4 linked regions of the Rattus norvegicus genome follow. The protein of the gene in region 2 interacts with the protein of the main gene of each other region in a pairwise test. Links are inferred from orthologs where the notes say so. Each region holds a gene or a part of one and is shown on either strand. Other genes may lie near its edges. The genes, in order: Zc3h10, Nfya, Pogz and Gtf2a1.

Region 1 (7,460 bases), on a different chromosome or scaffold from region 2:
CTTCAGAGTGAATGCTAGGATTAGAGCTGCGCCCCCACACCTAGCACTTCTGAAGCCTGGAAAGCACTGGCCCTGAAGATGTGTTGGAGCAGAAAGACAAACTGCCGTCTGTCAGCGGCTTGGTGAGGCAGCACCGCCTGTCCTGCTGTTTGAATAAGGGCATCTGTTAACTACACAACATCACATTTCTCAGTACAGACGCCCTCCTTAGTACCTGCCCCCCTGAATGACCCTAAGAGCCCTGGTTACCAAGGCAACCTGGGAATAGCACATGAAGACAGAGACTAGAGACAGACAGGGCTATTTTTAAACTAGACTAGGTGGCTCCATTTCTTTTATCCCAGAAAGTGCCTTCCCCAAACCAAAGCCCCGTTTGGCCATTTGACATCTTTACCCTGCGTCCCAACTTACCCAGCTACATGGGGGCAGGTCTTCCCCCCACCCCCTTTCTGGCATAAGATCTACTTTCTGCTCCAATCTTCCCCAACAGCCATCAAAGCAATTTTCACTTTTGTTAAAAAATAACGTTCTTTTATTTCTTTGGAAAGTAGTGGGCACTGCCCTACAGATTTCCAGGCCAAGCGAGGTAAGTGAGTGTTCTCCTACTCTGGGTTGGAGTACTATGGTCCCGGCCTCCCCAGGGGCCCAGGAGTATTTTTGGGCCCCAAACCATCTGAAGGCTCACGTGCGGTCTTTGCTCCTGACCACTGACTTTCACTTCTCCATCTTTCCTGGCTCTCTCTGGGTGAGGAATCTTTCTCTCCCATATCAGTGCTGGAATCTGTGCTGTTCACAATGAAAATAAGACCAGGGACACCCCCCCAAATTCCTGTGAGAAAACACAGTCCCTTAGCCCTTTCTGCTGGCTTCAGTCTCAACGCCTGTGCAAGCCTGTCTGAGTTGAGGCCTGAAGGAGACGACCCTCTCAAGAGTGGGGAGAACACAGCAGCACAACCCTGCCTCAGGAGACGCTCCTACCGAGTATATTCCTTGTAGTCTCTTGTCCTAGTTTCTGAGTGGTCCTCTGGACAGAGCCTGGGAGGGCTGGGCTCTGCGGGTGGGGAAGGGCCCCTGACCGCAGCCCTCAGGTGCTATGACAGGGAGGGAGTGTCCGTTTGGCCTGTCAGTGTGGCATGGCTGTGATGCGCATGCTCTGGGAGGCAATGGGGTACGTCACCATAGGAGTAGTAGTGTGGCTCATTGTGATCCCTGCTAAGGGCTGAGCCATGGACACAGCCACAGGAGCCACAGGGGCCACAGACACAGCTACAGGGGCCATGGACACAGGCGGGGGTGCCATCCCCTGGGCAATGGTTTGAGCCAGAGCGGCGGACAGTGGTGTGATCTCTGGGTTCAGGTGTGGAGGTGGGGGTGGTGGAGCAGCAGGAGGTGCAGCATTAGTTGGGGGAGCAGCTGGTGCTCCAGCAGGAGCCACAAGTTCTTGCTGGGACACAGGCCGAGGCTGTAGAGCCTGGCTGCTCAGAGTAGTGTGAGTCTGGGCAATGCCGTGGTTAAAAGTGGCCACAGTGCCCACGGTGGGGGCCAGGGTCTGCTCAGTCGCGGGTGCAGTGGAGCTCAGGGTCATGACCTTGGCCTGATTTCGGAATTGGGCGTTCTGCTCCAGAAGTACCTCATTGGTGGCCAGCAGGTTGCTGACCTGCTTCTTCAGTTCTTCCACACGTTTCCTGAGCAGAGCATTCTCCTCCTCGAGCAGTCTGCACTCCACTCCACGGAGCGGAGCCAAGTTACATTCATAGGACTCAAAATGGGGGCCATCAGGAGGGCAGCAGCCACCTCTCCGGCGCTTAGGGCCCGGTTCATGGTCCTCAAAGCCCCTTTCCGGAAGGTCATAGATGTCATAGAGATCATGCCGTCGTCCTGGGGGAGCAGAGCCTGTCGAGCCTCCACCTCCAGTGCCTCCTCCACCTCGAGCCTCAAACTCAAAATCTCTTTGCAGGTGACGAAACTTGCACTTGGTTCCTCTCTGACAGTCACCTTTGAGGAAGTCACGGCAGATAGGGACCTCCTCCTTACCATTGGGTAGGTCAGCAGGTGAGAGACCCAGCCCAGCTGCCACTTTCTGCCTCAGCCGAGGAGGCAGCTCTCCTGTTTTCTTATAGCCATCCTCATCCTCCTTGGAGCCATGGATGAAGCGGCAGTTGGGACGGCTACACTCCTTGTTTTGGAAGTCATGGCAGAAGATAAATTCGTTTTTGCTTACCCCCAAATTGGATACCTCACTCATGTCTGGGTGGCGGTATCGACAACGCTTGCCTCGCTTGCAGACATTCCTCAGGAAGTCTCTACAGATGGCATCTGAGGTGGCCCCCCCACTGCCTGTCCCTGCTCCACTGGCCTCCTCACTGCTACCACCTCCAGGGCCTGCACCGCTGCTCCCAGTGCCGTTGGCATAGCTGTCCCGGTCAGGCATCCTGGTTCCCCCCAGCTCAGGGTCTTGTTTCTTCTCTCGCCACTCTTGGTGACTGTTAAAAAAGAGAGAGAGAACGGTGTCAAACAGGTCCTCCAGAAGCCCCCAGTCCTCTGGGGCAGTGGCTCTGGAGATGGAGAGCCCAAGGAGAAGCCCAGCCGGCCCAGCTGCCTTGCCAGAGCCCCGCCTAGGCCCTTGTGCACCTGGTCTCATTTGGAGTGATTCACACTTGCCTGGCTAACAGAAGAGGGAGAGAGCTGGGCTGAAGCCACTTCTCTTACTAACATGAGCCGGGGAGGGGGAGGGGGGCAGTGTGAGGTTTTACCTTCTCTCTTCTAAGTCGTGGGAGAGAAACTAAAGCAGGTGTTGGTGTGTGAACACTGGGCTATTTTGCTCTGAGAACTCGTGGATGAAGGGACACCAGAAACAGAACTTCCCTTAATCCCTCTTCAATGTGAACTCAGCAAGTCTCCATGAATTGTAGAAACCCTTGGTAAAAAGACTGGTGTCACTAGTTACAGGGTCATCCTTAAACCTGTTCATCTCCCAGTCTGTTCCACACACAAACACCCTCATTTCGGGGAAGAAGCTCTGACCTGAACTTTCTACTTCTAGATCCTAGGACAAACTGTGGGATGCTCAAGGTGGGAAGGGGTTAATTTCACAGGAACGGTGACCTTTCTTTCCCCATTCTCCACCCCACTGCACTCCGACTAATATCAAACCATAGCACTCCTTACCCCATACAAATCCTCTTTATTTATAGACTCTATAAAAGCTTTTTAAGTCTCCTGTTTCTCAAGAGAGGTCTGGAATGTAGATCCACTGCCCTAATTCTAGCCCTCCCTTCTCTCTACCCCTAAGTAAGACTGGGAGTCCCTGCTAACACGTGTCTAATCTTCTAAATGTTCCCTAAATACTCAGGCTCCCCCTACAGGTCAAATAGGAGAGGTTCATAGTTTCCGTTTGGGAATAAAGGTACCTTTCTTGATTTCTTTGACCTATCCCATTCACACCCGTTTCCTTGACTTTGCCTTTAGATTTCCCTAAAATAACTAACAAGATTAGAAGCCAGAGATACACAAGAATATGCAAGATGGGAAGAGCAGACCCAGAGTAAAAGAAACAAGTGGTTAAAAACAAGCCCTTACTGAAAGAAAAATGACGACCGGGTGAAGACTAAATACCTCCAGAGCCTCACCTATATTTCAAGTCCCACCAGAAGCAGGTAACTGGATATGATAATCTTCCTCACCCCATTATCCCAGAATTAATACCTGAGGTAGCTCAGGTGAAGTCCGGGGCTCCCGTGAGTCTCCACCTCCACATCACTGCTGGGTTCTGAACAAGAAAGAAACAAAAAACCTGGAGATTTGAGTAGAACAAGGAAAACAACGTGAAAGGGCTACGAGGTGGTTTTCATACACTGAAATGAATTCTAATAAAAAGTGGCTTTTAGGCTCCCTTAAGAGTTCAAAGTGCCAGTCACCTATCATAGGGAGAAGTCCCTAATAAAGATAGGGCTAGGACCGACCAATAAAGATTGGGAAGCTGAACTGAAAAACAAAATAGTTTCTGGTGGCAGAAGGGTTCGGGGAGCTTTACCTCAAGATGAGAAGGATATGGGGTTCAGAAGGTTGGATTTCGGAACGCCAAACCTGAAAGCTGGACAAGGGCAACAACTGACTACTGTCAGTGGGAAGGCGATCTAAGACTTGGGGGCGGTGATTACGACGGTCCCCAACACCCTAGAGTTCACGAAAAGTCCTACGAGTTCCCCTGGAAGTCTTCTGGCTTGGCCGGCTCCGTGATGCGGCGCCAGCACTGAGCCGGGGACCAGGTGACTAGGACACTAAGGAAGCGAAGTGAAAGGGGAGGGGGGCTAAGGGTGACATCAAGCTGAGGGGATGGGCAGGGCTGTGACGTCACGGAGCTGGCGTTTGCTCGGGAAGCGAGGTCAATCAGAAAAAGGGCTCTGTTCTGGGTAACCAGGAAAAGCCAAGCCAGGTCGGTTCGGGGGGGGGGGGTTGTTGGAGGAGGCTCGTGGGGCCCGGCAGAGCCCAGCCGATGGGCCATCCCCGACTCCTCCCCTCCGGGCGCGGCCTCCACCTAAGTCTCCCGCCTCCCTCACCTGCCGCCGCCGCCGTAGTTGCTGCTGCCGCCTGCCGGTCCTCTAGCTTCGACAAAGAGCCGCCCACCCTACGGCTCTTCCGCTTCCTGCGGAAGAAAGGGACGCTCTAGCCACCAGACCCGGAAACACACTCTATGGTCCCATTGCGTGCTCTTAACCGCAGGAAGCTCCCAGCAAGCCTTGCGCGTCACCATGGTAACACGACTCCTCCGCACCCGGAACTCGCACAGCGTCAACTTCTACGCAGGGGCCCCCCAAAACATAGAAGTGGCACTGCGAATGCACGAACTCTAACTTAAACTCAGGCGCACACTAAATCAACTGGCTCCAGCCAGATCGCAAACACCCGGGCTCTTGTTGCCTACACTGGACTACACAACTCCCCACCCAAAGGAGCCGCAAAAAACACGTAACAGCGATTTGATTCTTCAGCTGACAGCAAGAGGGTTTATTGTACACGAGTTACACTTGGCCACAAGAGAACAGAACTAGTCCAGAATGCCAAAGGTCCAGGGCAGAGGGCCAGCGGGACTGTTTTGGTTGTGAGGAAGGTAGTCATTTTCCCAGCTGATCTCGGCGAGGTGACATTCCGGGTCTACTGAGACTTATTACCGACAGCAGCATACAGTCCAACCACTTGTTCCGGGCTTCAGCATCCCTTACTTCTGCTCCCGCAGGCTTCGTGGGTGCACAAGATGGTTTACTTGGACCTCTGCCTCATCTTTCTTCTCTTGCGCTTCAGCCTGGAAAGGCAGGCACACAAACCGAGTTAATTTTTTCCCCTTCCCACATTTACCATCTGCACTTCGTACAAAATACGATGAAATTAAACAACACCAGCTCCGATGAACCGTGCTTAAACGTCCCTCCACGCCAAACATTTTCACATTAAGTTTCTTCTAAACATCCCACCCCAAGCTTTGCCCCTTTGCCCCAATGTTAAGTCAAAAAATTAACGTACCTGCGCATTCTCTTCTTCCGCCACTAAAAGCCCGATCATGTGAGAAGACAAAAAAGAATGTTAGCAGTAGGCCCGGGTAAGAACATTACTCAGAAAACAGGTTTGACAAAGAATCAAGAGTTGGTGCGGCACTGGCTCAATTTTAGATCCGAATCTTGTTTTCCCACCTTCCTCCAGCTACGACTTAAGCCTGTACTCGGCTCTGTGAAAACCCGAAGCAAACCGTTTGCAAACCCGATGAAGAACCATGGCGGAGATTCACTGCCTGATTTTCCGCCTCACAATTCCTTCCTACCGCCCAAGCTCACCACTTATGAACCGCTCACCTTCGCTCTCATGGCGCAGGAGTCTCTAGAAAGAAAGGGAAGAAATTGCCGTTAGTCTGCTGTGATGAGAGTAAATGTGGAGGTCGGATGTTAATGGATTGTACTCGAAGTCGAAACAACAGCTAACACGGTAACTCACCAAGGAAGATGGCGCTAAGACCGAGAGAGCGGGGAGTCCGGCCTACTGCTATTTAATGGCGTGCTTGGTGTCGTCACTTCCGAGCCGCCCCTTCTGTTTCCCTTAGGGAGGGGCTGCTCGAGACAGTAAGTGACTTCCGGTTGCCTTACTAGAGGAAAATGTTTTGAGTGCGCGTTACCAAGCCCCACCTTTCCTTCTATATTAAGGATATTGTATTATTTCAGCGCGAGCACCTGTTTCCAGTATGGGACTGAGAAAAAGTAGGCGGAAAAAAAATAACCTCCGTCTTCTCGTTGCTTCATGGGAATTGTAGTTTTTTGGTAAATATCTCTACTTACTACTGATAGGTGTGGCTTGTAGTAAAAATTACTAGTTTTGCCCTGACTTGGTGGTGCACGCCTTTATTACCATCTGCTGGGAGGTAGACGCAAAGGCAGGCGGAGCTCTGTGAATCCGATCTACATAATGAGACCCTGCCTAAAGTAAATAAACAAAAATATTACTTTTGGTCTTTTTTTTTTTTTTTTCCGGAGCTGGGGACCGAACCCAGGGCCTTGAGCTTGCTAGGCAAGTGCTCTACCACTGAGCTAAATCCCCAACCCCACAAAAATATTACTAATTATCTTCTATTTGATCCCTCTGCCATCCCCCAGTTAAACTGTGTGTCAACATCAGAATTTTTTTAAAAGACTTTGGGGCCTCACGTTTGCTAGGCAAGCGCTCTACCGCTGAGCTAAATCCCCAACCCTTATTTTTTTTTTTTTTTTTTTTAAGATGGTTGTGAGCCACCATGTGGTTGCTGGGATTTGAATTCAGGACCTCTGGAAAAACAGTCAGTTCTCTTACCCGTTGAGCCATCTCTCCAGCCCCATATCAGAATTTCTAAAAGAGTTAAGATTTTAAAGCCAGGGGGTTGGGGATTTAGCTCAGTGATAGAGCGCTTGCCTACCAAGCGCAAGGCCCTGGGTTCGGTCCCCAGCTCCGAAAAATAGAAAAGAAAAAAAAAAAAGATTTTAGAGCCAGGAGGTGGTGGTGCACGCTTTTTCCCTGAGGCAGAGGCAGGAGGATTTCTGAGTTCAAGGCCACCGTGGTCTACATCCTGAGTTAGTGAGTTCTAGGACAGCCAGGGCTACACAGAGAAATCCTGTTTCGAAAAAAACCCAAAAATTTGCAAACTGGAGGCTGTAAGATTGGCAAGCAGAGAAAGCATACTGTAGTATGCTTTTTGTAAAAAGACATAATCATAATTGTGTCTGTATGTTGGTATGGAGGTAAGGGCATGCAGATACCAGCTGAAGCCAGAAGAGGACATTGGATCCCTTGAGACTCTTTCTCAAGCTGTTATGACCTGCCCGACTTGGGTTCTGGGAATGACTATACCTGTCACTTACTGCCCCTTTGTTTTGAGAGGGTCTCAGGGGTTTAGTTAAGAAGCCAAGTCCTCTTTTATAGTAGTGTTTTAGTCAGGGTTCTCA
Region 2 (7,322 bases):
GACTACTCTGACTATTTTTCACTTTATAAATAATCCCTGTCTGTATTTAGATTATGCATATAAGAGAACATATTTGGTATTTGTTTTTCTGAAGACAAATGTACCTTCTTTCCCTTACTATAAAGCTCCAGTTCATCCATTTCCCTACAAACAATAACATATAATACATTGAGTGTTATGTTCACTCACTGGCACCTACCTACAGATTCCCTAACTCGGTGGTGAAGGTGCAGCACCGAAGTGCAGTCCTTTGGTACACTCTTCTCAAGACAGTATAGCAGGATCATATATATAGTGGTGAGTTTTGGGGGGTGGGAGGATATCTACAACATGATGGCTTTTCTTGGGTCAACTTGATACATCTGGTATTAGCTAAAACCCAAGCAGCTGGGCACCCCTGTGAGAACTGTTTCCAAGTTAAGTCATTTGATGTGGGAAGGCCTACCTTTTATCTGGCTATGCCTGGTGGCAGCCCATATAAAGGACCTGGATTTGCCCTTTGCTGCTTGCCCTTGTTGGCAACGTCATTCCTTCCCTGACTGTATAACCTAGTACTTCTAGATTCTGGCATATACTGAAGACAGCTAAAATTGAAATATCCAACCTCATGAACTGAACAACTAGATTCTTGGCCTTTTTGTTGGTAGAACACCATTGCTGGACTAGTTAGATTACTTGTAAGCCACCTTAATAACACACACAGTCTCTCTCTCTTACACACACACACACACACACACACACACACACACACACACACACACACACACACACAGTCAGTCAGTCAGTCAGTCTCTTGTTTTATTCCTGGAGAACCTGACTTAATACACCAATTTCCATATACTCTAGTGCGGCAGAACTAACTTATATTCCAACCCATGAGGTTTACGAGCTATTCCCATCCTCACCAGTACTCTTTATTTCCTTGATGACAGCTATTCTGACTGGTGTAAGAAGGAATTACAGTATAAGTTGATCTGCATTTTCCTGATGGCTCAGTATGTTATTTTTAAATACATCTACAGGTCACTTGTCTTCTTCTGAAACTGTCTAATCTATTTACTTGTTTATTGCTTAGATTATTTTGTTTGTAATTTCTGAGCTCTTTCTGTATTCTGAATATTAATCCCGTCAGCTGAAAAGCTGGCTAAATTTGCAGAATTTTACACCAGCCTTTCTTGAGCCGGTTGACTGAGCTGGTTGTGGAGACTCCAGGTCCGATACGGAGAGTCAGCCAAACTAAGTGGCTGCACTAGGGAAACCAATGTTTCCCTTATTGGGGTGAGGAGGCTCAAGGGTGTTGACAGGTAGCTGCATGGTGGTCGCATGGTCCAGGCTGCCCTCAAACTCAGAGATCCACCTGACTCTGCCTTCTGACTACTAGGATTAAAAAGCTTGCACTACCATAGTCTACCCAATGTTTCCAAGTCTACCTTGTGTTTAACAATGTATCTGTCTCCAGACTAATAAATTAAGGCTACAATATAAACAAGCATGGCCCCATGATAAGAAACTGACAGCAGTAGCCTAGACAGAAAACAAATCGGATTTCCTGAAGCCTGAGGGAGGGAGGGAAGGAGACTGACTGAACAAGCCAGCCATTATGGGGATGACCAACGTTTTCATCCTTTTTCTCAAGTGGGGACTGTACAGGTGTGGAGAGCTTTAAAAACTCACCCAAATATAGACATATACAATGATTACATTTTGATGTTTAAAAAAAAAAAAAAAACACACTCACCCTCTGTATTTCAACACTTCCACTAGCCCTAAGACTCTTTCCTATAAAGCTTTCTTCTTGGCTAAATTTCCTAAATCTGCATCATATCAGATTAAATGCAGAATGGAGCTTGAAGTGGACAAGAGGACTGGAATGGCTGTAAGGAACACTTGGATCTAATTCATTTACCTCGCTGATACAAATGCTCCATTCTCAGGCCACTGAGACCCACTGTGCTTCAGAGGGTAAAAACAGAGGCAGCTTCAAATTCAGCAGTCATTCTGTATTGACAAGGGAGTGACAGAGCTTGGAGCGCAAGCCTCAGACTGCTCATAGTGCCTGCTTCTTGGCTCCAGTGCAGCTACATGCTCCTTCCTTGTCACCTCAGCCAGCAGAACTGTGGCACAACCTGACACACTTCTTTCCTCAAGCATTTCTTTGCCCAAGTTTATGACAGAATCAAGAGCTGGATTTAGTCTGTCTAGCTCTTCCACAAACTTGTGAATGTGGTTTTGAAAGTGAGAACATGAATGAATATGAATGAAAATGGATTTATTCTGGCCTCTGAGACATTCTCTTTCCATAGCATTTTCTGACCATTCACATGGCACAGAAGCAGTTGGCCAGCACTTAGAAAGGTAGGTAACCTATCTGAAGATAGCAAAATCGGAAATGCCCAGAAATGCGACTAAAATAAGCCCATCTGACCTGACAATCATACACCAGAGGACAAACCAAGAAAAACATTAGGAAAGGGTGTCATGTGAATTAGATTTAAATGTGAGATCTTACCCAGATGATACTAGTCTACGGTGAAGTATTTCAAATAAAGGGAAAACATTTGGGCTCTGTCTCGAGAAATTGAGAATCTACTTTTTCTTGAAATGCAGATGCAGAGGAAACCAGGGGAGGCTCCACAGGCCTGAGTCACCGTGACCAGATAATGGCCCTTTGTCCACAAAAACATTTGGCAGTTTTGAAGTGGCCAGATGCATCCATTTTTAAAATTCCAACCAAAGTTAAAAAACCCAGTCCAAAGACAAGACAAATAGACCTATAAAGACTGTACTGATGTAGTTCGTTTATCACAAATGGAAGAAGTAATGTGTGCTGGCTTTTTTTTTTTTTGGTCAACTTGACATAAGCTAGGGTCTTCCAGAATGAGGAAGAAGAATCAACTGAGAAAATGCCCCCTTAAGAATGGACAACAGGCAAGCCTATAGGGGCATTTTCTTTAATGTGGGAAGGCCCAAACCAAGAAAGGCTGTCAAAACCACGAAGAACAAGCCAGCACACAGCACCTTTCTATGGCTTCTGGTGGAGTTCTGGTCTTTCCTTCCCTTCATGATGGAAAATGAAATAATAATGAAATGCTTTTGGTGTGGTGTTTACAGCAACTAAAAAAGGCAAACGAACATAAGGGAATTTAGTAAACAATTTAAGGGTAAATGTGATTGCAAGCTGTTTTGGTTTAGAAGGGGGAACATTGGATTTGCTTTCTCAAACCCTATCAGTTAAAAACTCATACACAGAAAATCGGTTCCCAGCTTCACCTGAGTAAAAGATAATTTCCCTCTTCCAGGCAAAAAAATTCCTTTTTTTCCTTAAAAAAAAAAAAAAATCCAGCCATTATTATGGGGTAGAATCTTCAGGTCAGCAACCTTTCCCCGAAAGGTTAGGGAAGAAATCCACTCTAGGCCACTTTTAACCTCCAGTCCAAACTGTTTTCAAAAAATTTCTTTGTAACATCTGCAAAGGTTTTTACAAATGGGTCTTTCCCGCCTAAACTCAGTACTCCTGGGCCTTTCTGCGTCCGACAGCACTATCTGTTCCAGTTATTCTTTTCAGTCTTTCCTCTCCGAGGACATTATCCTCCAACACCCAATCAAAAGTGTGGCGATGAAAATAGGCTTCCTCATGCAAACAGCACTTCTCGATACTAGATTAGATCCCTATGAAACACTAGCACCAGTCAATCTCCACTGAGCAGGTATGGCTCCTACCCGTCTCCTCCTTGCAGCACTTGGGTGATGCCCGCCAAAGACTATGGCTAGCAGCCCTTGGAAGACTTCCTGTCGCCCGAGTGGGTGTGTGGTGTGGTGTAATCTAAGCATGTGCAAGTTTTAAATCATCAATTGAGAAAACGTTCACGCGGGATTCCAAAGTGTTTTAGAAAAAAGACACGGTGGGCTGAGTTATTGAGCGGAGACTGACACAAAAAAGATTAAAGGAAAACAAAACCAGAGAGCATCCAAGGGAGAAAGTTCAAGGGAGGAGGTATGGATAAATAGGAACTGAGAGATGAGTGCCCCCAATCATTAAGAATGCACAAGGTTATCAGGCAAGGTTTCAAACACCGACACACCGAAGAGGAAGAGCACTTGGTTGGGATCCAGCACGGAGGTGTGCCGGCACCGCGGGCAGAGCGGGGAGGAAATGACGACCCAGAAAGGGGTGGTAACGGCGCCGGCCTGGAGCCCCGGTGGCGGGCCGAGAGGAGGGGCAGGCGCGCCAACGGCCCCGGGGTGGGTCTTGGAGGCCGCGCCGCGCGTCTCCGCCTGACCTCGCTCGGGATCTGTAGTCCCAACTGTGGAGAGCTCAGGGTACGTGGACCTCGCCGGGGCCCGGAACGCGGGGACACAAGAACAGGCCGTAGGATGTGGCTGGAACGACTTGGGGAAACCGCCACGACCCGTGGTTGGGCGGTCGGCCACCTGACCTCCCGGGACCCGAGGATCCGGGACGAGCGGCGCATCCGCCACCGGCACCCGGAGAGTATCCAGATCCCAAAAAGCCTGGCTCCAGGGCGCCATCCCAACGTTAGACGGCCCCCGTAGGCCTCCACAAACTCCAAGCCGGGGCTGCTGGCTACCCAACTCCGGCAGCCTCGGCTCGACTCCCGGGCTCGACGGACGCCTGGGCCTCTCCTGAGTGGTCAGCGAGACCCGCCAATCGGGGCGCTGGGGCCGGCTCTGGGCCGCTGGATATTGGCTCCTCATACTCACCGTGCCTCGCTCCCCCGGTTCGCTGCCCGCGCTGATTGGCTCCAGTACCGGACCCCGAAACCCAATCAGAGGCTCCAGCCGCCGCCGCCGCCGCCACTGCCGCTGCCTCGCAAAATGGCGAATCTGAACAAAGGGGAATCGGGCCTCCCTCCAACCGCCTTCGCGCAAGCGCCTTCGAGACCACGCCCCATAACCCCGGCCAATCTGGCCCCGCCCCTGGGAGGAGCACTGCGCAGGCGTTCCAGAGGCCCCACCCACTTCCTGGATTTGACACCGCCTTCCGACAGAGGACTACGCAGGCGCCTTCCACAAGCTCCGTACTAGTCTTCTTAAACACCGCCCTGAGTTATATACTACGCAGGCGCTAACACGCCTCCACCTTTTTTTTTTTTAAACTGTCCACCTATATCTAAGCGTCCACTGGGACCCACCCCCTAGGGCCAAATGCGCAAGCGCTCTTCTTCTCTAGTAGGGGTCGGTATTTCGGTACGCATGCCTGAGCGGCAGCGGGAACCTACGGAATTTACCGCCGGAAATTCTGAAGCCTTTACTACAGAGAGCGGGCACGGCTACCTAGCTAGAGAGGCTCACTTCCGCCCCGTTAAGGGATGGGGGCGGCCATCTTAGAGTGCGTACAATCAAAGGCTTTGGCGGGATTTGTTCTGTGTCGGGGCGCTTCTGTTGCTTCCCATCTTCGAGGGTTTCATCTCGAACCCTTCCCTGCGTGGAGGAGGGCCTGCTGACGGCCGATTCCTTTGCAGGTGAAGAATGACCCCAGCACCCACTTTTCTACGGATCCCAGGACTTCCCTCCTTAGAGTAGGAGAGAATGAGAAGTCATTTCACACTTTCCTTCCTGCACCTCCAAGACAGTTGGTGATCGTCCCCTGAGAAGCTGTTCTCTCCACCTGAGTTCGATTCACTCTGATTGCCGCTCAATGCGCTTGTGGTCAAGTCTTTCCCATTCTAAGCCATATTCTCTGGGGAAATACTGGACTGTCCTAAACCTACCCTGCTAGGAGAAGGCTTGAAAGTAAGGAGGTGTGTCTTGGGACCGCCTTTTCTTCCGCTCCTGGAAAGCTGTTTTGTGTTGCCTCTTAGAGATTGAGTGAACTCAAATTCAGAGATAATACGCTAAGGAGGTGGGGAAAACTAAATGGGTTGTCAGGGTGATCTGAACACGCGATGTTCAGGCTGCCTGCGCCGTTTTTACTTGCTTTTCCTTTTCATTAGCAGAAGAAACTCTTAAATTCTGGAAATAGCGACTCAGTATCATGGCCAGCCGCATTAATGAAGATCCAGAAGGAAGTCGAGTGCGTAACAGCTATTAAATTTATCGGTGAAGTGAAATTCAGAGTAATTGAGGTCAAAAGCATAAACACTTTTTAATTAAACCAATAATTGGATTCTCGCCCCTCCCTGTTTGTTTCTCTCAAGCTGATTTACTGGGGAAAGGCTAATACAATCCTAGGCAGATAACAATCATCCCTCACTTCCCTTTTACAGATACTTTAAAATTTAGTGCTTAATTCTTTAAGATGGGAAGGGATGTTTTTAATTCAGAGTGTCAGAGAAGCAGGTTTGGGGCAGTAGGGGTGGGGCTCTGTTGAAGATCTGAAAGGAGAAACAGTTTTCTGGTTTTAACCTTTTTCTTTTCCTTTGCACATTTTAGATCACTTATGTGAAAGGAGATCTTTTCGCATGCCCCAAAACAGACTCTCTAGCCCATTGTATCAGTGAGGATTGTCGAATGGGTGCTGGAATAGCTGTTCTCTTCAAGAAGAGATTTGGAGGGGTGCAGGAACTGTTAAGTCAACGTGAGTTCTGAGAGCATCGTATCCTGTTTCATGCTGGCTGAAGCCTGGTGTGGTCTTCCATTAGACTCCGTGTACATGTACAAAGAGATTTCTGGTGACTGCTTTTAACTGTTAAGGGGTTATTGTTGCTGTTGTGCAGCTACTGCTGCTAGAGTTTTTTGTTTGTTTTTTTTTTTTAACTTCCTCAAGATTGGCATCTGATGTGATTTTTACCACACTAATCAGAGTTGTCAAAGTTTCCGGTCTCTTCCCCCTTTTTGTGTCTGAGTTTGCAGTATGCAGATACATGCATGTAAGGAGGCCTGGGGTTGGCACCATCTGTCTTTGTTTGCTCTCCACCTTTTTCTTTTGAATCTCTTAATAACATAGAGTTTGTCCATTTAGCCCCATTGGGTTAGTGCCGGGCATCCTGGATGTGTTTTTCCAGTTTGGGCTCTACAGTGTGTACCTGACACCTAGGTTTTATGTGGGTGCTAGGAATCACCCCAAGATTCTCATGTTTGTGCAGTATGCACTTTACTGATTAACTCATTGCCCCAAAGTTGTCCTTCCAAAGTATTTCACTTCTCTCAAACTTTGGTTAACTGAAGGCCTTATCAAGTTCCATGTGCTTTGGCGGTCAGGGTCCTGTCCTAAATATTACTCTGTTCTTCCTTAGAAGTAGAGTCTCATTGTGGAGCCTAGGCTGGCCTGGCACTTGGCGTGAAACATAAGTTTGTCTTGAACTCTTAGCAGTCCTGCTGGCTCAGGCTCCTGAAAATGCACATTACAGGCATGAGCCACG
Region 3 (6,847 bases), on a different chromosome or scaffold from region 2:
GCTGGGGATGGAACCCAGGGATCACACACACTGGGGAGGGATTCTATCATTGCTACTTCTCCATAAGCCCTCTTTGCCTCATTTTAAAAAAGCATTATTGTTGTTTTGTATTTTTTTCTTGAGATAAGGGTTATGTAACCCTGGCTGTTCTGGAACGTACTGTGCATGTAGACCAGGGTAGCTTCAAATTCAGAGATTTGCCTGCCTCTGCCTCACAAGTGCTGGCATTAAAAGTACAGGCCACCACAACAGGCACGACAATAAAAACTCAACATTTTGTGTATTATACGCATGCCACAGCAGTGTGTGGACCCACTCCGTCACGCATGTTCTAGAGAGAACTCAAGTGGTCAGTGTGGTGGCAGCACTTTACCTGCTAAGCCACCACACCTGCTTTGCCTCGTCTGATGCATGCAAGCTTTACATTTCAAATGTAGCAATTTTTATTCTTGCCTGTGTTTTGGCATCCAAGAAACTGTTGTTAAATCTAATACTGTAAAGCTTCTTTCCTAGGCTCTCTTCCTAGGAATTCTGGGTTTGGTCAGTTGTCATGGCAGGACCTCACACGTGTACAGTAATCTTCATGCATGGCCTCCTGACTGCTAGATTACGATATACGCCATTATACTGTCCATTTATGTTTAGGAGAGGTTCTCAGCACTGCCTCCTAGACCCTTGCTCATACTGAGAACACAGCAATCCTTTTCTGGTCTCACAAGTAGCTAGGTCTATTTACAAGCATGTGTAACTGTGTCGACTTTTTTCTTTTCCTGTTTGTACATGGTATATACATACATATGTGTATTATGCATGTGTGGATATCTTACCTGTGGAGGACAGAGGTTAATAACTTCAGATCCCTTCCCCTTGCACGCTCCCAATTATTTCTGAGACAGGGTCTTTAACTAAACCTGATCGTCACTGCACTGTTTCGGCAACACTGACAGGCTTTATCACTCCCTTGGTGCTGAAGTCACAAGCATATGCCCCATGCTGGCTTTTATGTGGCACTGGGGATCTAGGTCAGGTGCTCATGCTTAGACGGCAAGCACTTTATTGACTAAGCTACCTCTCCTCATCCCCATTCTGAGTTGGCTGGGTTTTGTTTGTTTAGGATTCTTGAGACAGATTCTCACTGTGTAACCCAAGCTGCCTCACACTCACAAGCCCTTTCTTTTTCTCAGGCATCTGATGCGGAAATTACAGACATGCACCACCACATGCCAATTTCATGTGCAGCTCTCTTCTGAGTGTCACGGCTTCTGTGTTTGCCTGGGTTTTGATTTACCTAGGGTTTTTATTTTGCTGTTAAGACAGGTCTTCTGTATGTTGCCCTGGCAGGCCTACAACTCAAAGATACTTTGTCTCTCCATCCCAAGCACTGGGATTAAAGGCATTCACCACTATATCTGGCTTTCAATTAATTTTTACATTGCACAGAAAGTAAGAATTTCAAATTTTTGTGACTATCTAGTTTTTTCAATGTATTTAAAAAAATTCAACATTTTTTAATAGTTGAAATGAAACCAAAAGAAAAATGAGGCACATGAAAAGTATATAAAATTCTAAGTTCAGAGCCCATAAACACCTTTGGTGGAACAGAGTCCAGCTTTCAGCACCTTCCTACTGTCGGCAGCTGGTGTCTACAACACTTGGAGTGGAGAACGTGCTGGGCACAAAGCCTAGAACATTCACAGAAAGTCACCAGCTCCTGCTCTGGACCACTAAAAATCCTCAGATTCATATTCTCTATCTTCCTGAAACCCCTTTAGCACATCTCCACTTTAAACACTCTCCCCTCAGAGGTCCAAGAGATGGCTCAGTGCTTAAGAGCACCGGCTGCTTTTCCAGGGGTCCTGAGTTCAATCCAGCACCCATGTGGCAGCTCACAGCTGTCTGTAACTACAGTCCTAGGACATCCAATGTAATCTTCTAATGTGCAGATGGACATGAAGACAACACACCCACAAGCATAAAATACATCTTTAAAAGTACGAGTTACCCCAGAAAGTCCACTGTTCCTTCCACAGACTTCTTTCATCAACACATCCATGCCACTACCTGATCCCCAACGCTGCTGGTGCAGCTACATTTTCAATCTTTTACCACATTACCATTTCTGTAAAAACAAAGCACCTGCATCCTATTTATCCATTTCACAATAGTTTCAATGCAAGAAATGCTTTAGCAATGTTTTCTGCGTGACTGAATGGTGTTTCAGTCTCTCACATTACCTTTCATTGAAGATTCGGGTCCACTGGTTCTTTGAGCAGAACTGTTGTTGGACACCACCACTGGCCCAGGACTCTGGCCCAGGGAAGGGATAGTGTTAAGAGTATTCACCAACTTGGCCACTTCGTTGCTATTTTCACCTGTAACCCCAGGTCGCTTCACAGTGACAAAGCTGGCAATGCTCACTGCAGGTGGAGAGGGGAAGGAGGGAGCTACATTGACCAAGTGAAAATCATCTGTTTCCCACCCACTGCCCCATGCTGTTCTGCCGTCTCCTCGTCCACATCTCACCTAGTTTGGGATTCGAGGTCTGGTTGGGCTGGCCTGGAGGCTGACCAGCTAGCTGCCCCAATGCGGTTGGCTGTGTGGCAATGGGAGTAGTGGAGGTACTGGGGGTGGACTTGGTCTGCTGGGACTGGGACTGTGGGACAGTGCTTCGGATGGTGAGAGTAGCTGGGATGACGGTGGTAAAGGTGTTGGTGGTGGGCCTCACAGGCATTGTGGAGCCTGGCCTCACGGGGGTCATCTGAGAGAACACTTGTGGGACGCCAACTGTCGGCTTAACAAACTGTGTACCTGGGGCTTTTAAAAAAAGAGACAAAAAAAGTCCCAAACCTTCATCAGTGAGCTCACCTATAAAATATTTTCTTGCCTTTCCTAGAAATACAAGAACAGGAAAAAGTTACTCCCTAAACTGACTGAGTGACCACCAGAGATCACTAAGAGTAGCATCGATCTGAACATCTAAGAAAGCTGTAGCTGTCCGTCAAACAAAAGGAATTATCCAACGTTTCGTAAAGCAGCAGTCAGAAGAAATTCCCACCAACTCTTTTCAGATGCCCTGCACACACTCTTTTTTACAGTAGCTTGGCCTCCATATTAGAAGTGGGAAAAGATTGGGTATATGCAGGCCAAAGGGCAGACTTGGTCCTTAAAGTCTTTTTTCAGAATTCTAAAAGAATTTTCCATTTTCTTCTGTATACTCAAATAGGACAGGCAGTCTACTCTACCTCAATGTCCCAAAGGTTGACCTTTTTCTAGAACTACTGTAGACAATCCCAGGGAAAAACATTTAGAGAACCTCAGAATGTTAGAGACATCTCATCAGATTTATGCCTTAAATGCCCTGATGGCTCTCAAACAACAACAAAGGAAACAAAAGAACAACAACAACAACAAAAAAAAAAAACAAACAAAATGCTTTGGAAAGCCAACCACAGAAGCCCCTTATTGTCCTTGTATTTATCTGAGTGTGTGTATGTGTATATGTGTGAGGGGTGGGGGGTGGGGGTGGCATGCATACCACAGTGTGCAAGTGGAGTCAGAGCAAACCAAGTGGGAACTGGTTCTTTCCATCATGTGGCCTCTAGGGAGTGAACACAGGTCCATTTAGCCCTGAGACACCTACTGGTCCTAAGGACTGTTTACACAAATAAAGTTACTCTCTTTTTGAGCCAAACTGTAGAAAACCTAATAGGTAAGCATTGTGATTTGGGGGGAAATTACAAGAATCTTCTTTTGGTACTGAAAAATTGACCCCAAGGCCTCAAGCAATGCTAAAAATGCTATAACTCCAGCCCCAAGATTCTTTTTTTTTTCTTGGTTCTTTTTTTCGGAGCTGGGGACAGAACCCAGGGCCTTGCGCTTCCTAGGCAAGCGCTCTACCACTGAGCTAAATCCCCAACCCCCCAAGATTCTTTAATATTCCATTATATGGTCAATGGTAGTATTATCTTCAAAACATCTATCATTTACTTAATTTATATCTAAAATTCCCCCAACCTCTGCCTTAGCTTGTTTATTTCTTGAGACAAGACTTGGCCTTAAATTCACAGTAATCCTCCTGCTTCAACCTCCTGAATGTTGGATTCCAGGAGTGTGTCACCATACCTAGTGGCATATAGAAAACCTATGCTTTACAGTTAAAGAAAAATTCAATTTATAATCCTATCCCATAAGTGAGTAAATGTATGGGGAGCATTAGATTTGTGGGTTTGCATTAACAATATTCTTTCAGGATAACAAACAAGAGCTGACCTCATCAGCAGATACTGTTTGACTAAATAAGACTTATTTTACCTCATGAATGGTGGTGAAAAGTTAAATGTAAAACTAAAATTACCACTTGACTAAAGTTCAGACTTTTTAAAATTGGACTTAAATTGTTAACATGGTATTTTAAAATTCTGTTTAAATACATACTTCCAAATGACCGAGACTATTTTGAAACAATAAGAGTAAGTATCTGGATGCCAGGTTGTAAACATGTCCTTACCTGGGACCAGTGTAATTGGTCTGACTGTTTGGCCTTGCTGTACATTCAGCACGATCCCAACCTGGTTCATGGCATTCTGTACAGGGCGAACATTCCTTACAGGGAATCCCTGTATCAAAAAGAAAAATGACCTTTAATACAGACCAACTAGCCAGACACTGACTACAATATGACTGACAGCTCCACAGTCTTACCTAGCAGCTCTCTCTAGAATCACAGCTTTCAAATGACTGAAATGGAGAATTTTAGGAAATTATGGCATGCTAGGTTTTTATGGGGTGTTTTTTGTCCTTTGTTTTTGCCTTGAGACGGGTCTTGCTATGTAGCTTAGGCTGCCCCCAAACTCCTAATTCTGTTGGCAAATATCTTTGGGGTATTTTTGTTCTGTTTTTTTGAGACAGGGCTTTATATAGCCCAGGTTGGCCTTAAACTTGCTATGGAGCCCAGGCAAGCCTTGAATTTATGACAATTTTCTGCTTCATTCTAAAAGCTGGGGTTATAAGCATGTAACACCACACCCAGAGTGCTTAGCAAACTAAAGAAGCAAAAGCAACAAAACTATGCATCCATACACTGTGCTTTGAAGGGAAGAAAAATCACTAATAGTATTTAATCTAGTATTCCGACAGATAAATCACCTTTTTTTAAAAATATGTTGCTCTCAAGCCCACTTCAAAGGCCACAAACCTCTGGTAACTACAAAGGCAGAAAGAAGCATGTGCCTCTTAAATTCCACCCAGATTTGGGCTTTCAACTGACAACCGGTATACTGTATGGCAGAGCCTTCCTTCAAAGACCACTTATTTTATACATGTATTTAAAAGTCAATGAATTCACCCTAGGGGATAGAAGCAGCCCAGGCAAAAGTTATCCCTTGCAAGGCAAATGTGAAGGCTTCAGGTTTTTTTCCCCTTAAGATGTGTATGACTGTGCACGTATGTATGTGCACCACAGGGATGCCTGGTGTCTGTGGAGGTCAGAAGGCATCAAGCCTTCTGAAAGTGAAGTTACAGACACAGCTACGAGCTGACATGTAGGTGCTGGGAATTGAACCTGGGTTCTCTGCTAGAACAACAAATGTTCTTGATGGTTAAGCCGTCTCTCCAGCCCTGAGTGAAGCCTTTCTAATTCTAACTTTCCTGATGATTTCTGCTCAGACTTTCAACTCAACAGACCTCTCAGGTGCATGGACAGGCAATATCATGTAGCCATAATGCTATGCTGAGCATTCCACAAGGCAGAATTCCATGAAACAGTACGGAGAACCTCAGTTCAACAGACAGAACTCTAACAATGATAAAGATCGTGTCCAAGGCAGAGCCTCTGCAGGCTCACCGTCTATCTCCCCAAACAGACCTAGAAGTCGAAGCCCCACTCACCTGGGTAGTGATGAAGATAGGTTGTGAGGCCACAGGGGAGCTAGTCACATGATTGGCATTCTGCATGACCTGGACAGGTCTCAATACTGGTTGAGTAACCATTGTTCCCAGACCCGGTGTTGGATTTTGGGTCAAGATGAGTGGTTGTCCACCTTGCTGGACCAAAGTATTACCAGCTAAAAAGCAAAAGGCAGGCAAAACAAAGGGAAACAGAACATGAAAGGGATGTTAGAAACAATGCTAAACTTGTATTCATAAAAACATTATTATCTCAGTTAAGAATTAGTGTCTCAAATATCAAAATTACTTAACTGCTACTACTCACTTCAGGCTTAATGTCACTAAACTCACAATTTAAGCTTCACTCAACTCTACAACTAACAGAATACAAGCTCACTAACCCACCCGTGCCTGGCCCAAGGCTGAGAGGCACCAGTTCCTATCTTCAGACTAATGAGTTAAGTCATCACACACTTCTCCCCAGTCAGCAGAGCCAAAAAAGGTAAGACTTTCCAAATTTAAAGTAAAATCTTTTTGTAAGAAAGTAATTTGTTGTTGGCTAACCCCCTTTTAAACTTTCCTTTTTTACATTTGCTTAGTGTGTGTGTGTGTGTGTGTGTGTGTGTGTGTGTGTGTGAGAGAGAGAGAGAGAGAGAGAGAGAGAGAGAGAGAGAGAAGCAGCTCTCAGGTACTCAAGCTTAGTGGCAGCAGGTGCCCTTTACTCACTCCCTGAACCATCTCACCAGCCCTAAACCACTTTGTTGTTGTTTGAGAAAGGTTCACATTTAGTTTGATCCAAAATAACACGAGACATTCTTCTACAGGAAATAGCAACTGTGGTGGTTTGGGTGAGAATGGCTCCTGTAAGCTGTTATGTTTGAGTGCTTGGGCTGCAGTTAATGGAGCAGCTGGAGAAAGAATGGGATATGTGGCCTTATTGGAGGAGATGTTTTCTGAGACA
Region 4 (6,847 bases), on a different chromosome or scaffold from region 2:
GTGTGGCCTAGAAGTTCTCCTTGGCCTTTTACTTTTCCAGAACAAAAAATGTAGATCGAAGGCACTGGCTCTAGAAGAATCTCTAAGGCCACTTCTGTCACCAGCCAAAGATGTGACCCTCTTTTAAAAAAAAAAAAAAAAAAAAAAGTTGAATATAGTCGTTCCCATGAAAGGCTGAGGCAGGAGAGTTGCTGCTAAAGCCAGCCTGGCACACAAACTGAGACCATAGTTTAAAAAACAAAACATGTTTCATTAAGACTCATGACAATAGCAAAGTTGCAGTTATGAAGCATAACAAAAATAAATTAGTGGTGGTGGGGTACTGGGGTCACCACACATGAGGAACTGTATTAAGGGGTCACAGCATTAGAAAGGCTGGGAACCGCTGCACTGACAGCTATTAACAAATAACTACAGAAAACTAAATCAACTGCAATACCAGGCCATAAAGAGCACTGGCTGCTCTTCCACACGACCAAGGCTAGGTTCCCAGCATGCATGGTAGCTCACAACTGCCCTGTAACTCCAGCTCCAGGGCATCTGAGCAACCTCCATTCGCCTTTGCAGGCAGGCACTAGGCACAAACATGGTGCACAGACATACACACATGCAAGCAAAGCACTCATATCATACACTTAAAAGTGGAGGGAAGAAAAAAACCAAAAAACCAAAACCTTATAAACTAAGGGGGCCTACAAAACTCAATGATCAATTCCCAAATAGTTTGGTTTAAAACTTCCTTGAACAGCAAAATCCGTAAAATTTTAAGAAAGCTCATAAAACTCATCAATAAGGTCTTTTCAGACTCAAGAGAGCTGAAGTTTAGGAAAGAAAAAATTATTACCTTAGTTCTGTCCCTGGAAGGCAGGGGGGCTGTTACAAGGTGGATGAATATGAAAATGATCATCTCTCACCATCTTACCATTACTTTCTTCAAGGCAATGTTAAGGAGTCAAGTTCTACTCATTCTACTCAAACAACCGTGAAGCAGTCACAATGCGTCCCTTCACACTGGCTATAACAAGTCAGGAAGCCAGACGTGGTAGGCAGCATGTGCCTATAAGCCCAGATTGAAGCAGGAGTACAGTTGAATACAAAGTCATCCTAGACTAGCTAGCTCGCTACACATGGGAGTTCCTGGCCATCCTGAGTTGTTAAATAAAACCTGGTCTCAGGAGTAAAAGAAAAACAGAAATACAGGCAGTCATCTTCTGCCTAAATGTTTCAGTGAGGCTGAAAAGATGGTTTAGAGAGACTACAATAAAAACAACGTTCACGACCGAATGTGAAGTCCTTACCTTATCATACTGGCATACAACAACATTTTCTGTGTCAAAGAGTTCCTGCCCTTCCTCATCACTTACATCATCTTCGCTGTTGAGGGGCTCCTGCAAACAAAAGGAGACACAGATCTCATGCACCGCTTGCTATAAAGTTTCCTGTAACTCTTACTGAGAGCTCCTGTAGCTGGGATGTTCTGAGGACGTCAGGTGTGTATCTGGACACACTGAATGCAGAGCTGTCAACGCTTAAGGTCTGCTCATGTTACTTCAGCAAGAAATTAAGGAAAGTTAAGCTAGGGAACTCACAAGACTCAAAAGGTTAACATTTATTTCCTTTGGAACTCATTAAAAAGCATTGTCTGCTCCCATAGAAGACCTGGGTTCAACGCCCAGCACTCACAATGGCAGCTCACAACCATTTCTAACTCCAATCTCAGATGCCCTCTTCAGACCTCCCTGGGTACCAGGCACTCATACAGTAAACAAACACACATGTAGGCAAAATCGATCATGCACATCATTTTTAAATTGTTCTTTACTCGTTAATAAGTACTCAAGACAAATTTCCCTGTTTCATAAGCCTAGGAATAAACCTGAGAAGATATGACGGCCTCATGAGGTCATAGTATTATGTACCAGCAACAGTTTAAAAGGAAAAAAAATGGCATTGAAGAAGAAAACAAAGTGTGGCCTCAGGGCTGTACTAAAAACTAAGATTCTAAAAGCCAATCAGTACTGTTTATCAACATGATGACATGGTGGAAAAAAATCATTAAGATTTAAATTACTCTTAAACGTAGAGGATGAACCGCCTCAGAGGCAAAAGTAAAACCAAAGAAGGGTTTGATAAAATAAGGTTAAACTTCATTTGTGGTGTAAGACAGAAGCTTTAACTCAGATTTAAATGACGAGGGGAAAGACAAGACAAAACAGAGGTAGAAAGGAAAATAATTGAGGATATTAAAGCCTTGGTGTATGCCACTCATACATAGGGGTGTGTGACAAATATACTCTTTGAACAGAAATGTCTATGTTAGGGAAAAAAACGATAAAACCATTTAGAACATACACTTCCTGTCTCCACAGCTCCAGAGCACTCCACTAACCTTTACATAAGCAATCACTCTCTATTCCCTCTTGTGTCCTGGCAACCACCAATCCGCGTTATGACTTCATAAATGTGCCTGTTCTGTATACATAAATAAAGCAATACAATTTGTGGGTGTCTGTGCTGTGCTTGGGTGTTCGTGTATGCTCATGTAGCAGCACGCACAGCACTTCATGCTTCCTTACAGTCCGGTCAAATGCTGTCCTGTTGTCTGGATAGGCCACTTTTTCTTTGCCATTCACTAGTTATTGACAGACATTCAGGATGTCTGTATTGTTTGGAAAGTGACAAGAGTATTGCTGTAAGCACTCATGTACATGGTTTTGTCTGAACTCCTGTTTTCAATTCTTTCCTATGTTCATTTGCAAGTGAAACTTAGCAGCACATGGCTAACTCTGCTTAATTCTGTGTTCAAAGCCCTGTTTTCTGTGAAAGCTGTTTTGGTTCTTATTCACACTGGAAATACACAAGGGTTCCGATTTTTCCTAATCCTCATCATCATCAATAAACTTTCTTTTTAAAAAGAAATACAGCAGTGTGGGTTGGAGAAATGGCTGAGCAATTAAGAGTACTAGCTGCTTTTCCAGAGAGCCTGGGTTCAATTCCAGCACCCACATGGCAGCTCACAACGATTTCTAACTTTAATCCCAGGGATCTGACACCCTGTCTTCTGCCTCTATAGGCAATGAATACACATGATACATGGAAATACATGCAGACAAAACCACCAGACACATAATTTTTTTTAATGATAGTTTTCCTAGTAGGTATGACGACCTCCCAATTGTGGTTTAGATTTCCATTTCCCTAATGACTAAAAATGCTTAAGAAAAGAAAACCACATCTGTTATTATAGTTCCTGAGGCTCAAAAGTATAAGCATAGCATAATATAGAAAATTTCCCTATTCAGTCTCACATAGGTTAAAATTTATGGCATCACAAGATACCATATTGTCACCTAAACCTTTGAGTCTTTTCCAAGCTCATTCAGGTGGGCTGGCAGAACTGAATTGCTTACAGTTGTAAGACTGAAACTTTCATAGATGCTCTTGAGCTGAGGGATAGGTCGTTCAATGGTAAATACAACAACAAGAAGCAAATACCCAGATGCTATCCATGGTTGTCACAAGCCTTTAACCCCATCACCCGGGAGGCAGAGACAGGAAGATCTACATACCCAGTTCTAGGACAGCCAGTGCTATATAGTAAGAACCTGCCTCAAGGGGCTGGGGATTTAGCTCAGTGGTAGAGCGCTTACCTAGGAAGCACAAGGCCCTGGGTTCGGTCCCCAGCTCCGGAAAAAAAAAAGAACCAAAAAAAAAAAAAAAAAAAAAAAAAAAGAACCTGCCTCAAAAAAACAAACAACAAAAACAAAAAGCAAAACACATCCCACCCCGCCCCAATTTAGCCAGGCACAGACAGTGGGACACACCTTTGATTCTAGAACATAGGAGGCACTGAGCTCCAGGCCAGCCAGGGCTACTTAATGAGACCCTGTCTTTAAAACAATTAAAAAAAAAAAAAATTTAGCTCAGTGGTAGAGCACTTGCCTAGGAAGCGCAAGGCCCTGGGTTCGGTCCCCAGCTCCGAAAAAAAGAACCCAAAAAAAAAAAAAAAAAAAAAAAAAAAATCACAGAAGAGATTATGTCATGTTTCTAAAAAAATTACAAATTCTTTCATAAGGATACTATCAACATGAGAACTGGTGAGAAGATTGAGAGAAAAGAAATTACAAACGCATTCATAAACACTGATCTAAAACTTCTGTCCATGTGGGTCCGGCAGTTAGAGAGGATAATACATAATGACCAAGCTGTGCCATAATGAAAACTCAATACTGGTTTACAAAGTAGGACCACTCAATAAAATTCATAAATAGCAGGCTATAAATGTGATACTGTGACTAAGAGTTGCAGAAAGGCATTTAATAATAAAATACATTTCCTAGTAATTAAAAAAAAAAGCAAAGTACTTGGTTAATTACAAAAGCAATCAACTCACTTAGCCCCAAAAGACATGTACAAGGAAATGAAAAAAACCACGATGACAACAACAATAACAAACAATAGACCATTATAAAAAAAACTTCTATATAAAAAACAAAAGCGTCAACAAACACATTATTATAAACACATCAGGCTGGCTCAACGATGAGTTTTAAAAATTCTATACATGTCTATTACACAAGCAATCTGAAGAAATACCATGTAAATGTCACTTAAGGAAGGACTAAAACTGTGGGAAACGGTTGGAAATAATGCTACCTGCCATTTCAACATAGTAAAAAATAAATAACAGTAAACACACGGAAGCAACTGAAGCTTCTAAGTACTCACAGAAGTTCAAACTAAAACCAAACCGAGAGACTGGTTTTCAGACTGGAAAATTTTTAACAGTCTGCTCTATCATGAAGTGATAACACACTGATGTTTACGAATTACAGACAAAATGGCAAGATAGACTCATACAGTTAGGTTGGCAAGTTCATGTCCATAAAGAGAAATGCAGGAGCTCCAGAACACAAGCCACCAAAATAATCAATAGATCCAAAAACGGATAATCGAATTATAGTACAATCAACAGTGCAAGCACCCACCTCTCTCTCCCTCTGAAAAAATAGTGTATAATTTGTCTGCTTAGCACCAAATACAATAGTGAATGGTGAGCGCCTTTTCTTTTCAAGGCTTTTGTAGAAACTTACTTCTTCCACCTGCCCATCTTCGGCTCCATCTTTCTCTTTATCTTCCTCTTCATCATCATCATAGTCTTCTTCTTCGTCTTCATCTTCCTCAGAAGATGTGTCCCCTGTTCCGTCAACTTGCAGCACCAATGGAGCCTGCTGCTGAGCAGGCTGGGCCTGTGGCTGCTGCTGTCCAGCTGCAGGGATCTGTGCTTGTGCTGGTGTGGGCGCTGCCACTGTCGTAGGAATGACCTGAGTCTTATTCCCTGTAAATAAGATTTGCTGTGGCTGGATGATGACACCGGTCTGTGGTGAAATCCCTCCAGGAAGTGGGGCTAGGACCTAGGGCAAACAAAACCACCTATTACAAACTGGTTACAGGGATCCAAAATCAAAATCAAACTAATAATAATTTAAACATGAGAAATGTGCTTGAAGGCATATCATCTTAACTCAGAATAAGGTTGTTCTTGACTGCTGTACACCTATTAACCTGTCCAGGAAAAGAGCGGGGAAGCACACAAAGTCATACAGCAGAGGCAGAAGCCAAAGAAAATGAATATCAAGGGGATGGTAGGTAAAACTGCATTACCTGCTGGATAACAGGCGCTTGTACTCCACCAGGCTGCATTTGTGGTATAACTTGTTGTTGTAGAACAACTGACTGCTGAGGCTGAAAGATATATTGGGCACCATTGGCTGCTCTGACTACCTGAAGCAGCTGGCCTATGGCAAAAAAGAATATAGTCCAAGTTACTAGTTAAGCAGCAATTAAAACACAAAGAAATTTATATTGCTTTCAAGCCAAAGAACCTACCAAGTTAGAAGAGTAAGCATTTTACAGAGGACTATCAACTATACGCCTTACACTCTATTACTGTTCCCAGTTTTCTTCTATATCCAAATTGCTCAGCGGTTACACTGGCTGCTAGTCCAGAGGTCTAGGGTTTCACTCCCACCACTCAAATGGGAAGTCACAGTATTTCTAACTCCAGTCCTAGGGAATCCAATGGTCTCTTTTGGTATTCCAAGGAACTGCAAGCATGTGGTGCACACACATACAAGCAGGCAAAATACCCATATATACAGAATTTAAAACTGGAAAAAATATATTTACATATATATATATATAAATAAATAATACTTTCTGATAGCCTTAATTACTTTTCGTCATATGGTAGCAGTCAAGGAAATGCAGTAAATAGGATCAGATATTTCAATGGTTGTTATTAAACTTTAAAGGCACAAAGGTATAATATCTCATTTATATCTTAAACCAAAGCACAAGGTTTGCTTAAAATTTTCAATATGCAATGAAAATTTGCTGTGAGTCAATTAGAATGCCGAAATTATGACCAAATAACATAATATATACAATACTCTCGTGTATGTTCCTTTAGATATAACAGAATCCTTAAGAGTGAGCAAAAACATGCAGCAAGACAAAGCCCTAACTGGTTCCTCAAATTTAGAAATTAACAAAAATAAAATGACAGGTATTAGCTATTCAGGCCTGTGAAATGTTCAACTTGGTCATCACAATATCTCACTTAAGTCATTTGGCAAGACAGATGCTTAGTAAAATCCCAGTACATAACCATTTCTACATAATCATGCCTCTTCAGCAGGGTTCCATCCAAGAACAAAAGCTCTATCCCCTTTTCTTCTTAAAGCAGTGTCTCTGCTAGTCTCACACTTTCTATAAAAGTAGACTGAGATTGAACTTCTGACCCCCTGCCTCCAACTCCAAACTGCTGGGATTATATGCTACCAAA

What was found.
Region 1: the proteins of Nfya (region 2) and Zc3h10 interact in binary tests that used the Homo sapiens proteins (3 or more experiments, as listed by UniProt). The two-hybrid records come from large-scale screens. The link is inferred for Rattus norvegicus from reciprocal best matches to the Homo sapiens genes NFYA and ZC3H10.
Region 3: the proteins of Nfya (region 2) and Pogz interact in binary tests that used the Homo sapiens proteins (3 or more experiments, as listed by UniProt). The two-hybrid records come from large-scale screens. The link is inferred for Rattus norvegicus from reciprocal best matches to the Homo sapiens genes NFYA and POGZ.
Region 4: the proteins of Nfya (region 2) and Gtf2a1 interact in binary tests that used the Homo sapiens proteins (3 or more experiments, as listed by UniProt). The two-hybrid records come from large-scale screens. The link is inferred for Rattus norvegicus from reciprocal best matches to the Homo sapiens genes NFYA and GTF2A1.

What each region holds. Positions count from the first base shown.
Region 1 is NC_086025.1:1,557,439-1,564,898, forward strand, and holds Zc3h10 (zinc finger CCCH domain-containing protein 10), read right to left. Parts: upstream 4,604-7,460; 5' UTR 4,560-4,603; intron 4,175-4,559; exon of another isoform or gene 4,034-4,174; intron 3,794-4,033; exon of another isoform or gene 3,770-3,793; 5' UTR 3,706-3,769; exon of another isoform or gene 3,630-3,705; intron 3,470-3,629; exon of another isoform or gene 2,754-3,469; intron 2,484-2,753; 5' UTR 2,432-2,483; coding exon 1,124-2,431; 3' UTR 510-1,123; downstream 1-509. Other genes in the region: Rpl41 (small ribosomal subunit protein eS32), read right to left, coding at 5,260-5,302, 5,521-5,543, 5,847-5,858. UniProt on the Homo sapiens protein: Specific regulator of miRNA biogenesis. Binds, via the C3H1-type zinc finger domains, to the binding motif 5'-GCAGCGC-3' on microRNA pri-MIR143 and negatively regulates the processing to mature microRNA.
Region 2 is NC_086027.1:20,082,606-20,089,927, reverse strand, and holds the start of Nfya (nuclear transcription factor Y subunit alpha), read right to left. Parts: upstream 4,848-7,322; 5' UTR 4,723-4,847; intron 1-4,722. Other genes in the region: ADP-ribose glycohydrolase OARD1, read left to right, coding at 5,996-6,034, 6,394-6,538. UniProt on the Homo sapiens protein: Component of the sequence-specific heterotrimeric transcription factor (NF-Y) which specifically recognizes a 5'-CCAAT-3' box motif found in the promoters of its target genes.
Region 3 is NC_086020.1:185,107,288-185,114,134, reverse strand, and holds part of Pogz (pogo transposable element with ZNF domain), read right to left. Parts: intron 6,063-6,847; coding exon 5,887-6,062; intron 4,617-5,886; coding exon 4,508-4,616; intron 2,815-4,507; coding exon 2,524-2,814; intron 2,445-2,523; coding exon 2,235-2,444; intron 1-2,234. UniProt on the Homo sapiens protein: Plays a role in mitotic cell cycle progression and is involved in kinetochore assembly and mitotic sister chromatid cohesion.
Region 4 is NC_086024.1:116,226,072-116,232,918, forward strand, and holds part of Gtf2a1 (transcription initiation factor IIA subunit 1), read right to left. Parts: intron 5,799-6,847; coding exon 5,665-5,798; intron 5,415-5,664; coding exon 5,094-5,414; intron 1,389-5,093; coding exon 1,299-1,388; intron 1-1,298. UniProt on the Homo sapiens protein: TFIIA is a component of the transcription machinery of RNA polymerase II and plays an important role in transcriptional activation. TFIIA in a complex with TBP mediates transcriptional activity.